Drosophila melanogaster: one gene and its partner. Each later gene encodes a partner of the first gene's protein in a complex. Each region holds a gene or a part of one and is shown in the gene's direction. Other genes may lie near its edges.

The links.
Region 2: Ltn1 (region 1) and Clbn share a complex: the UniProt entries of both Drosophila melanogaster proteins name them as parts of the ribosome quality control complex.

The regions. Positions count from the first base shown.
Region 1 is NT_037436.4:19,549,021-19,553,994, reverse strand, and holds the start of Ltn1 (listerin E3 ubiquitin protein ligase 1), read left to right. Parts: upstream 1-1,704; 5' UTR 1,705-1,727; coding exon 1,728-1,775; intron 1,776-1,836; coding exon 1,837-2,630; intron 2,631-2,687; coding exon 2,688-2,867; intron 2,868-2,923; coding exon 2,924-3,965; intron 3,966-4,023; coding exon 4,024-4,974. Other genes in the region: CG9300 (uncharacterized protein), read right to left, coding at 1-666, 747-1,110, 1,165-1,329, 1,388-1,519. UniProt on the Drosophila melanogaster protein: E3 ubiquitin-protein ligase component of the ribosome quality control complex (RQC), a ribosome-associated complex that mediates ubiquitination and extraction of incompletely synthesized nascent chains for proteasomal degradation.
Region 2 is NT_033777.3:25,125,559-25,131,856, forward strand, and holds Clbn (caliban), read left to right. Parts: upstream 1-1,943; 5' UTR 1,944-2,059; intron 2,060-2,071; exon of another isoform or gene 2,072-2,199; 5' UTR 2,200-2,252; coding exon 2,253-2,308; intron 2,309-2,373; coding exon 2,374-3,103; intron 3,104-3,174; coding exon 3,175-4,052; intron 4,053-4,114; coding exon 4,115-5,230; intron 5,231-5,288; coding exon 5,289-5,487; 3' UTR 5,488-5,597; downstream 5,598-6,298. Other genes in the region: Mocs2B (molybdenum cofactor synthesis 2B), read right to left, coding at 94-216, 276-544, 609-884, 1,009-1,315, 1,377-1,505; Mocs2A (molybdenum cofactor synthesis 2A), read right to left, coding at 1,516-1,788. UniProt on the Drosophila melanogaster protein: Key component of the ribosome quality control complex (RQC), a ribosome-associated complex that mediates the extraction of incompletely synthesized nascent chains from stalled ribosomes as well as their ubiquitin-mediated proteasomal degradation.

The DNA.
Region 1 (4,974 bases):
TGTCAAAGAAGTTCGTCATTAGAGTGACACTCACGTCCTCCAGCCCATTCTCGCAAATGGTCGCCTCTCCATGAACATGCTGTTTGATAATTTCGTCGATCTCTTGATCCACTACCTCGGGAGGATCGTAAGCCAACTCCCGGCCATCAGCTTTTTGGTAGTCCAAGTTGGGCATCTGCTTATTTAACTGGGATTTCACAGCTCTATAATTTAAGGGTTTCGTACTACCATCAAACTTAATAAGCGACTCCAGATACTCCTCCTCGTTTATGTGATCCAATTCAATAGGCGAGAGGTGAGTATCACTAAACTGAGAGCCCAACATGTCCACCAGCACCTCCCGGTTCATTCGGTAACGGACCGCCGCTATATTATGCCCCATGGCCAAAAGGATGTGCTCATTCCCGGCCCAAAGGCGAGAGAAGTCCAGGTACACTTTAAAGTACTGCTTCGCGTTCACCACCTTAAACTGAGTGTTATAAACCAACAGAGAGGCGCCTTCCTGCCCATAGTTGGCGCCGTAGATGGCAGCAAAGTTTCGTGAGACTCCGTGCACGGATAGCTTGCTCTCCACATTCAGCTCGGCCAGCATAGATACGAATTGTCCAGGGGATCGCTCTGATGTGGCCTCCGCCAGGTTAAGCATGAAGATGCGTTTATCAGACCCTGTAAAATTAAATAAATTTATAGTTTTCGTTCTTACATCAAAACTCATTCCTCACACTGATATAACTAAAGTTACTTACAAATGGTCAGCAACTGAGGATCTGCATCGCCCTCGACGACAGCATATCCCGTGAGGCGAACCTCTTCCCGCTTAATGAGGTACTTCCGCCGGTCAGCCGTGTCCAGGGAGAGGCGGATAAGCTGCATTTCGCCGGTGGCCTTTGTTTCCTCGAAATATGTGAGCACCTGCTGGCCCTGGGCCAATGCGTGGACTGTGGGCTTGCTGATGACCTTGCTGGCGGCTAGGGCCAGTTGCTCAGCCGTATCCTCCTTCTGGTCCTTTCTCGAAGCCAATGCCTGGGAAAGGGTTTGGCACTCGCCATCGCTGTAGAGGATTAATGCCTCCTGTTCGGTTGCCACCACGTGAGCGATGCTTTTCTGAAACTGTAAGGAAAGCGTATTATCCACAATTATATGCTGAATTTTAGCTGCCCATACCTTCAGCTTCTTGCACTTGGACACATCACTGGTGTCCACATCCCAAAGACGCAGCGCGTGATTTCCAAAGACGCCCACATACTTCTGGCTGCTGGGATCGTATATAACCTTGGAGGAAAGCTTCTCCGGCAGGGACCAACTGAGCAACTGCTTTTGTGTGCTGATCTATAAGGAAATCGCGTTTGTTACATGGGCATTTTGATATTTTGGTGTCCAAACGCACGTTCAAAACAACCACCACGTTGCGCGCCAACGTAGTCACCACATTGCCATTTTCCCTGTCTGCAGCTAGGCCCAGAAACTCCTTGGGGTCGGGGATGGGAAACAGGTTGTAGTAGGACAGGAATTTGGACATTATTTAATTGAATTGAAAACAATTGCAGCACGTGCAAAGCGGCATCCAAAACTAAACCACAGGGCGATTCGTGCCATTGAAATCAGTGTTTTGGTATTTAAAATACCGACAGTAAGGCTGCCAGACCTCTGCGAAATACGAACACAAATGGTTGCCGGACCTGCCACGTGCTATCGATAAGAGGAAGAGACAGAAGAAGAAGAGAGAAATGGGTGGAAAGACAAAACAAGCGCCGCGCACCAAAAATAATGCCAAGGTAAGGCGTAGTAAGGTATTAATATGTTATTTAACCGTGCCCTCGACCCCCCATCATCCAGCCCTCGAGCAGCAGCCGAACAGCCGAGCTGCTGGGCAGTTCCACGCCCATATTCGTGGGATTCTCGGCGCAGACGGACGGCGGTGGCCTGGTGCCATTTGCTCCGGGATTCGCCAGCGCCGAACAAATGCCGGACAGCTTTGATGCGGCCATCAGTCCGCAAACGCAGATCATCCTTCGAAAGCTGTCCAAAAAGGATCCAATGACGAAGAAGAAGGCGCTGCAGGAGCTACACGAACTGATCGAGCAGTCTGACGTGGAGGTCCTCAAGAACATTCTGCCTCTGTGGCCCAAGTACTACCTCAATCTGGCTAGCGATCCGGAGCACACTGTTCGCGAACAGACACAGACTGTGCTGCAGTTGCTCATGGCCAAGTGTAAAAAGGCGATGGCTCCATATCTAAAGTTACTTGTGCCCGTTTGGCTGGGCAGCCGATTTGATACCTACGCTCCGGCGGCCAGTATTGCGAGCCAATCCTTTCGAGACACCTTTGCTGGCAACGCCAACCGATCTCGGGAAGTCTGCATGCACTGTCAGGTGGAGATTCTCGAGTACGCCACACGTAACCTGACCTTCCACACAGCCGCTACTCTGTCGATTGGGAAAAGTCTCACTCCGGAGGATGCGGAACAGAAGTACCAGCGCGTTATCATCAGTAGTCTCAAGCTGTTGTCCTTTTTCATGGGGCAAACTGCGCAGACGGAGGAGCTCAGCCAGGTCAAGGAGGGCTTCGGCACCCTGGTGGCACACCAGAAGTTCTGGAGCTTCGCCAAGCATAAAGTGCCTGCCATTAAGTAAGTAAACAGACAAGTCATTTACCATGTATTTAATTTCTGTTTCACATTTTATAGAGCCGCCTGGTTCGAGTGCATATATCACATCCTGCAATCGGTTGCACTTTTGGATGTGATCACGCCTCAGAAGACGCAGCTGACTAACCTCTGCTTTCAGTTTATTGACGATGCAGATCCCGTGGTGGCTCCCCACATTTGGGGGTGCGTTCTGCTCCTACAAAGTAACTACGTAGATTGGTAAGACCTAGGATCTACTATAAGTGAATTCCAATAATAAAGTTTAATATTTGTAGGTTCGTTCCACTGAACATTCGCAAGACACTTCTCCCCAAACTTTCGTCTTTGCTCCAAAATGGTTTCAATCGCAACGCCCAGGCCATCTGTCCCAATCTGCTGCCATTTTTGTCGAAAGTTACACAAGCATCCCTTCAAGACCTGGATATCTACGATTTCTATCAGCGCTTCTTTGACGACATGAAGCTGGCAGTCACTAAGAAATTCGATCCTCCGCTTTCCAAATCCGATTGTATTGTGATACATAATGCATATTTTGAGTGCCTACGCTTCTTGATGCAGCAGATTAACAACAACAAACAGCGAGAGCAGAAGGAGGAGGAATTTTCCTTTAGCCTACTCGATAACAACGTACTTGAACCCATTGCCTGGCTGCTCAAAAGCGATAGCACGCATGTAAAAATTTTCTTCCAGCACAGTTCAGCCCTGGTGGCCTTCTGGGATCGTCAGATTAATAATAGATTGGATAATGGTGACCTTTATGCCAAATTGCTGAACAAGTTCTGGATACGCATCTTTGAGCTGGTCACACAAGACCTATCGGCCGAGGAGGTGAATGAGCAACTGCTCGGACATGTCTTGCTTTTAGTGCAGGATCTGCATATGGCTAATCCTAGCCTGGAGTCGCCGAGTGTGAAGTTTGTCGAGGGGCCAAACGAAAAGATCGAGAAGAGCGAACCCACAACACCAGTTAAAAAGGCTCAAGAAGCTGCTGCTTTTATACAAAAGGAATTGAAGCAGTTGGTTATAAAGTTAGTGCGCATATGCCTGGATAAGGCCAACAAAGGCAGTGGGAGTGGTACTTCGAGCTCGCGTTACATCGAACAAATTCGAACGCTTACAAAAATGTTTAACGATGCCGCGTTCTACAAAAGTTTAACTGATGATGGAGACCTTGCGTCGGCGTTAAATAAATTTGTGTCACTGCTAGGTCAACTAAGTTGTCAGGCCTGTGAATCTGTGGTGGAGATCGTGTTTGAAATCCTGCCGCTGCTAGAGACTGGAAAACGCTTTGAATATATTGAAAACACTCTCATGAAGGTAGTTACCAATTTTAAAGTGTATAAAAAAAATATTAAATTATTATTATTCTTTACAGCTTCCACAACATGGCGTGCAAAATCTTTTGCTGCATCGTCTACTATCATATCCCCTATGCGCCGAGGCCGCCGTGAGGCAAATGCTAAGTGGTCCGGAAACTTGTGAAATGATTGCGCGGATAGCTGAGGAGGTTGTTGTAGACAATGATCGGGAGAAGCTGAACTTGCTTCACAAGTGTTTTTTCCAAACTGACACGGGAGACATACTCATTAATGCTAAAACTGTGGATAAAATACTGCTGTCCATGTGCGGACCCTTGGAGCAACCGGTTGTCGATGACGCGGTGGAAGTGTGTGGCAGTTTTATTGCCCAGATAATGCCTGTGATTTGCAGCAACAATAACTCTTCGCTGCACGTGCGCCAACACATCTTCCTCAAACTGTTCAAATTTAGTTTGGAGCACCGACCAGAGGATTATCTGTCGGAGGATACTCTGTGGGAAATTACCACTTGCTGGCAGGATGGACTTTCTAGCAAAGATATCGAAATCGATGATGACATGCTAAAGTGTTGCGCAGGGATTGTTGAGGAATTGGCAAATTCAGCAGAACTTAAAGCGGATACTTTGGATGGAATGGCAGAGGCGATGGCCAAGTTTGTTATTTGCTCAACGGAAAATATTGAAGATGAGTATAAGCGCTTGGAGCGAATCGATGAAACATTAACTGCTCTTCTGGAAACGCCCCTAAAAACGACTGACAAGGTTCAACAGTTTGAGAACCATTGTGTACTCCTAGAAGCCTTGCACGGATCTGTGACTGCGGGAGTTCCGTTCGAAAATGCTTGCCTCTCAAGAAATGAAATACTACCATTGCTTCAACGTTCCACACTCAACTTTTCTACAATCTACAAGCTCGTCTATCAATTCCCACCACCTCAAGACACCAACGACCCAGAGGATGAGTTGACCGAGGACTATTGTGATCCAAATGCTGATGTGCTCAAAAAA
Region 2 (6,298 bases), on another chromosome or scaffold:
TTACGCATAAAAAAAACTATTACAAATAGTTGGAATGTTGAAATAAATTTACATCAATTACAAACCAAGGAATAATAATTAATTAGGTTTTTATTAGCTTAATTCGCTGCCATCCTTAATCTTTTGAATGAATGCACTTAATTCTTGCGCCGAATACGATTTCTTTCGGCTCTTCTTCGGCGGCGCGGCTTCCATAGATGACGGTTCACGTTTGGTCTGAGAATAGATTGAATTTTTTTAGAACTGCAATTACAGGAAATGTTTTAAGAACCTACGAAGTGTCTGTACTCGGGCGAAATGGACTCCAGTTGCAGCAGTCTATTTTCCACTCGTTTGATTCTACTGAAAATGTTTTCCTCGTTGTCGGTGGTTAGACCCATGTACGATTCAATTGCCTGTAGTCGTGAATTGGGTAGCGATTTCCTCATTTCTTTGGTTGGATCCGTTTGACCGTCACGCGATCCCATTAGTTTATTCAGTTCGAGTTCGTAGTTGGGTCGCATTTCCATTTGCTGAGGTCCGCATCGGTTGTTTACTCGTCGGACTGTGATAGGTTGTTTGTAGACCAAAGTGGCTATAGTTATGAAAATAGAGCATCGTTTACCCACCTTTTAAATGGCAATTTGACTGCTCCTGCTTAATAATTGTGCTCTGCGTTCGAGCGCAGGAATCGCTCAAGTTTTGGTCTGAGCTGACAAAAGACGATTTGAAGTCAATTACATTTTGTGAGTTTATTTCGTCTCGTTTTCTGTTGACAAAACATTCTAAACGCTTGGTTAACTCAGCGTCATTAACTCTAATTTGCACCAGAGTTCGCGGGACGTCATGTGACTCCTCAACTTTGCAGGGACAAGCGGCGTAGTTGAAGCCACTTTTCGATTTCTCTACAATGTACATGCACAGATGAGAGAGAAGCCAATAAAATCGTAAACGCTCGATTGTTAATTATATTTACAAGTGTACAAATAATAAGAATACATGTCATGCTGGCTACTCATAAGATCTTACTAGGCCTGATGGACTCCTTGTTCTCCTTCCATTCGCTGTCGTTATCGCCGTCGTAGATTTCCTTTTTCCAGATGGGAACCCGAGTTTTTAGCTGGTCTATTGCAAAAGATACTGATTCTAAGGCCTCAGAACGATGTGGTGACGAGGCGGCTATAACTACACTGGCTTCGCATACGGGCACTGTTCCCAATCGATGATATATGACTATGTGCTTCAGATCGAGCCACTTAGATCGGAGATCTGAGCATATTTTATTCATTTCCTTGAGTGCCATGCTATCGTAGGCCTCGTACGCCAATGACAGCACCTGAAAGGTCGAAAAGTACAAATGAATCAATGAAATCAATTGATTGAGATAATGAAGCCACCTTTTTCCCTTGAAAATTATCGCGCGTAGTGCCCACGAAAACGGATGAGGCTCCACAGCCTTCATCGGCCAGCAACTGATGGATATGAGCGATATCTATGGGGTCGTTTACCAATTTCACGTGATCCATGGCGGAAAGGTTAGCCTCCACTCAGTGGCGGTATGATGGCGAGTTCGTCTCCTTCCTTAAACAGAATTCTATCACTCAGGTTGTCAATGTACGACTCGTTGTGGGCCAAAATCAAGTTATCCCGGATGGAGGTCAGGCCAAATTTGGACACCAGGTGGTCCAGCAGTTCGGTGGCAGTAATTTCAGTAGGAACTTCCACTGTCGACCGGGGAGTGTTTGCTAATTCACGGGATTTAGCAAAGAACAACACGTGCACGTTGACAACAGGTCCATCCGCATTCATATTTACAAATGAAGATTGGCGATGACACAGCAGTTCCATTTTCCGACTACCTATGTATCGATTTCTTATCGGAACGAAGTGGAATAGTCCACGGAAAGGGAAACAGCTGACTGAAACTTTATTAAATGCTTAATAACTTTTTAGATAAATCAAAGAAGCTTCTTACTCATTGCATAAACAATACAAATATTTAATACATAGTAATTATACAGCGAATTCATTCTGACAATCCGAATCATCAACAGCATACAATCGATATATTTTGTTTAAAGTTCGTCCATCGCAATTTACACCGATACTTAATTTCGCAAGTGAATAAAATTGTTATTATTCCCTATTAAACTAATTTAACTTATCTAACGTAGATAGCGAACTTGTGAATATTTAATGATAAGTTAAGTTGCCAGATAGATTCTTTTTTCTTCACTTTCCGTGTTGACATCGTCAACTTTCCATAAAGAACCATGAAGACACGTTTCAATACCTTCGATATAATCTGCGGAGTGGCGGAACTGCAAAAGTATGTAAAAAATCCGGATAATTCCGATGCCCAGGAATAATGGTACATCTACATTTATATTCCAGGCTGGTCGGCTGGCGAGTGAATCAGATCTATGACGTGGATAACAAGACCTACCTCTTCCGGATGCAAGGGACCGGTGCAGTGGAGAAGGTCACTCTGCTAATAGAATCTGGTACAAGATTCCATACCACTAGGTTCGAATGGCCCAAGAACATGGCTCCGTCCGGTTTCAGCATGAAGTTGAGGAAGCACTTGAAGAACAAGCGCCTGGAAAAGGTTCAACAGATGGGTAGCGATCGTATTGTTGACTTTCAGTTCGGTACCGGTGATGCCGCCTACCATGTTATTTTGGAGCTCTACGATCGTGGTAATGTGATCCTCACCGACTACGAGCTGACCACGTTATATATTTTGCGTCCGCATACGGAGGGCGAGAACCTGCGCTTCGCCATGCGCGAGAAATATCCCGTGGAACGGGCCAAACAGCCCACGAAGGAACTGGAACTGGAAGCTTTGGTTAAGCTGTTGGAAAATGCCAGGAACGGCGACTATTTGCGACAGATTCTAACACCCAACTTGGACTGTGGTCCGGCAGTTATAGAGCATGTTCTCCTCTCACACGGCTTGGACAATCACGTTATCAAAAAGGAAACAACGGAAGAAACGCCGGAGGCGGAGGACAAGCCGGAGAAGGGCGGTAAAAAGCAACGTAAGAAGCAACAGAATACGAAACTGGAACAGAAACCATTTGACATGGTTAATGACTTGCCAATTCTTCAGCAAGCAGTAAAGGTAAGAACAATATCGTGGAAATATTTATTATTGCTGTTAAAGTAAATAAAACGTTCTGTGCAATCTTTTAGGATGCTCAAGAGCTTATAGCTGAGGGAAATAGTGGAAAAAGTAAAGGCTACATTATTCAAGTTAAAGAGGAAAAGCCTACAGAGAATGGAACGGTGGAGTTTTTCTTTAGAAACATCGAATTTCATCCCTACCTCTTTATTCAATTCAAAAACTTTGAAAAGGCCACATTTGAGTCCTTTATGGAAGCCGTTGATGAATTTTACTCTACGCAAGAGTCGCAAAAGATTGACATGAAAACGCTACAGCAAGAGCGTGAGGCACTAAAAAAGCTGTCTAATGTCAAGAATGACCACGCAAAGCGTCTAGAGGAATTGACAAAAGTCCAAGATGTGGACAGAAAGAAAGCAGAGCTAATAACGTCCAATCAAAGTCTGGTGGATAATGCAATTCGGGCTGTTCAGTCAGCTATTGCCAGTCAATTATCCTGGCCGGATATTCACGAGCTTGTAAAGGAGGCACAGGCAAATGGCGATGCTGTAGCTAGTTCCATAAAGCAGCTTAAACTGGAGACTAATCATATATCCCTTATGCTCAGCGATCCATATGACAACGATGAAGACGACGATCTTAAGGATCCAGAGGTTACTGTTGTGGATGTCGACTTGGCTCTGTCTGCTTGGGCCAATGCCCGTCGATACTACGATATGAAACGTTCGGCTGCTCAAAAAGAAAAGAAAACTGTAGATGCTTCCCAAAAAGCTCTTAAGTCTGCGGAGCGCAAGACGCAGCAGACGCTCAAGGAAGTGAGGACTATATCGAACATAGTAAAGGCACGGAAAGTTTTCTGGTTTGAAAAGTTTTACTGGTTTATCAGCTCTGAAAATTATTTGGTTATTGGAGGAAGAGATGCCCAGCAGAACGAGCTTATTGTTAAAAGGTTTGCTTTCAATTACTTAAATAGATCGAAGTATTTATAATTATGACATGTTGTTATTCCAGATATATGCGTCCGAAAGACATTTATGTGCACGCTGAGATTCAAGGCGCCTCGAGTGTTATTATTCAAAATCCCACAGGAGAAGAAATACCTCCCAAAACGTTGCTAGAGGCAGGATCCATGGCTATTTCGTACAGTGTTGCTTGGGATGCCAAAGTGGTTACCAACTCGTACTGGGTAACAAGCGATCAGGTCAGCAAAACTGCACCGACTGGAGAGTACTTGGCAACGGGAAGCTTTATGATCAGAGGAAAGAAGAACTTCCTTCCCTCCTGCCACCTGACCATGGGTCTAAGTTTACTTTTCAAGTTGGAGGATAGCTTCATTGAGCGCCATTTGGGAGAGCGTAAAGTTAGAAGCCTGGAGGATGATCAAATAGATCCAAATGTTAAAGAAAACGAAGTTGAACATGATCTTTTGTCGGATAATGAAGACGCTGATTCAAATATAAATCTATCGGAACCAAGCTCCAATACCGAAATTACAGCTTTTCCCAATACAGAAGTTAAGATTGAGCACGATACTGGTCGCATTATAGTCAGATCCGACTCCGTAAATCCAGAGATTGAAGAGACTAAAGAGAGTGAAGTTGTCCTAGACAAAATTTTGAAAAAGACGGACGATGAAGAAACGACCATTATTTTGGCTGGTCCAAGTCGTAAAAAGCAAGTAAGTGCCAAAAAGACCAAGGAAGACAAGGCACGGGCGAAACAAGAAGCTGCCAAGCAGGAAGTCCCTCCTGTGAGTAGTGAACCAAAAAATCCATCTCAAGTTAAGAGAGGTCAGAAGGGAAAGCTCAAGAAAATGAAGCAAAAATACAAGGATCAAGATGATGAAGAGCGGGAAATTCGCATGATGATTCTCAAGTCATCGGGTAAGGAAAAGCCACAGGCCAGTGCCGATAAAGTGGTGGAGAAAAGTGAGTCAACCAAGGAGTACGTGAAGCCAGAAAAAAGTGCAGCTCCCAAAAACCCAGTGGAACTGGACGATGCTGATGAAGTGCCCGTCGGTGGGGATGTGGATGTACTCAACAGTCTGACTGGACAGCCGCACGAAGGAGATGAGCTGCTGTTCGCGATTCCAGTCGTTGCTCCCTATCAGGCTTTGCAAAACTACAAGTAGGCTATACTGAAAGTTCGCATAAAATGTTTATTGTAAATGTGATATCCTTTTTAGGTTTAAAGTAAAGCTCACCCCAGGTACGGGAAAAAGAGGAAAGGCGGCGAAACTAGCACTTAATATCTTCGCAAAGGAGAAGAGCTGCAGTGCTCGTGAGAAGGACTTACTGAAAAGTATAAAGGAAGAGTCGTTGGCCAGGAATATACCAGGAAAGGTCAAGCTATCGGCCCCGCAACTTCAGAAGTATCACAAATAACTAAATCAAATGTATGCAAAATGTGTTGAGCCATAACTTAAGGAAGTGTTAAAAATGCTTTAAAAAAGTAATGCCAGTTGATACAATAAAAGAGAATGTTTACGGAACTGAATATATATGTTGATTCCTTATCAAAGAGATATATATATATATGTATATATTGATTTTGTTAACGGTTGAAACTGGCTCTTATCGATAGTCTTGTTGCTGGGCGAACTTTAAGCTGGGATTTTGGGGCGCATGCGCCTCATATGGGGCCCGAGTTTGCATGTGTTTGTTTACTTCGGTTGGCTGTGTTCGAAAGTGGTGTTGTATAAGTAGATATTTTGGTGCTAAGTCGCCTGTTTTGGCATTTTGTGTACTAAAAAGTTCGGGAACTTCTCGTCATCATTCGATTCGTCGTGAATTGCCACAGTAAAAATCTACACTAGCCTGTTTAAAACAATGAATTCCTCCGGAGCCCGATGAAAAAGCAAACAAGCCCGAAGGCAGCAAATCACATAGCTTCTCGCAACCAAAGACAATACAGCGGAAAATGTATCTTTCGTGCGAAATCCGTGTAAAACATTTTTTCCAACCCAACCGTTTGCGTGCCGTGGAGGATTTCACCGATATGTAGATACATTTAGGCAAAGACGGAGTGCTTCCCAACGAAAGGAAACCATTGCAAAAGGAATAAAATTAAAGTGCTGAGGCTATGGTTCGGTGAAAAACTATGGCCTTCAAAGTCCCACCCAGTTAGAAGGATATGTGCGTGTGTGTCTGTAAGTGTGTGTTAGTGTATGTGAGTGTGTGTGTGTATGCATACATA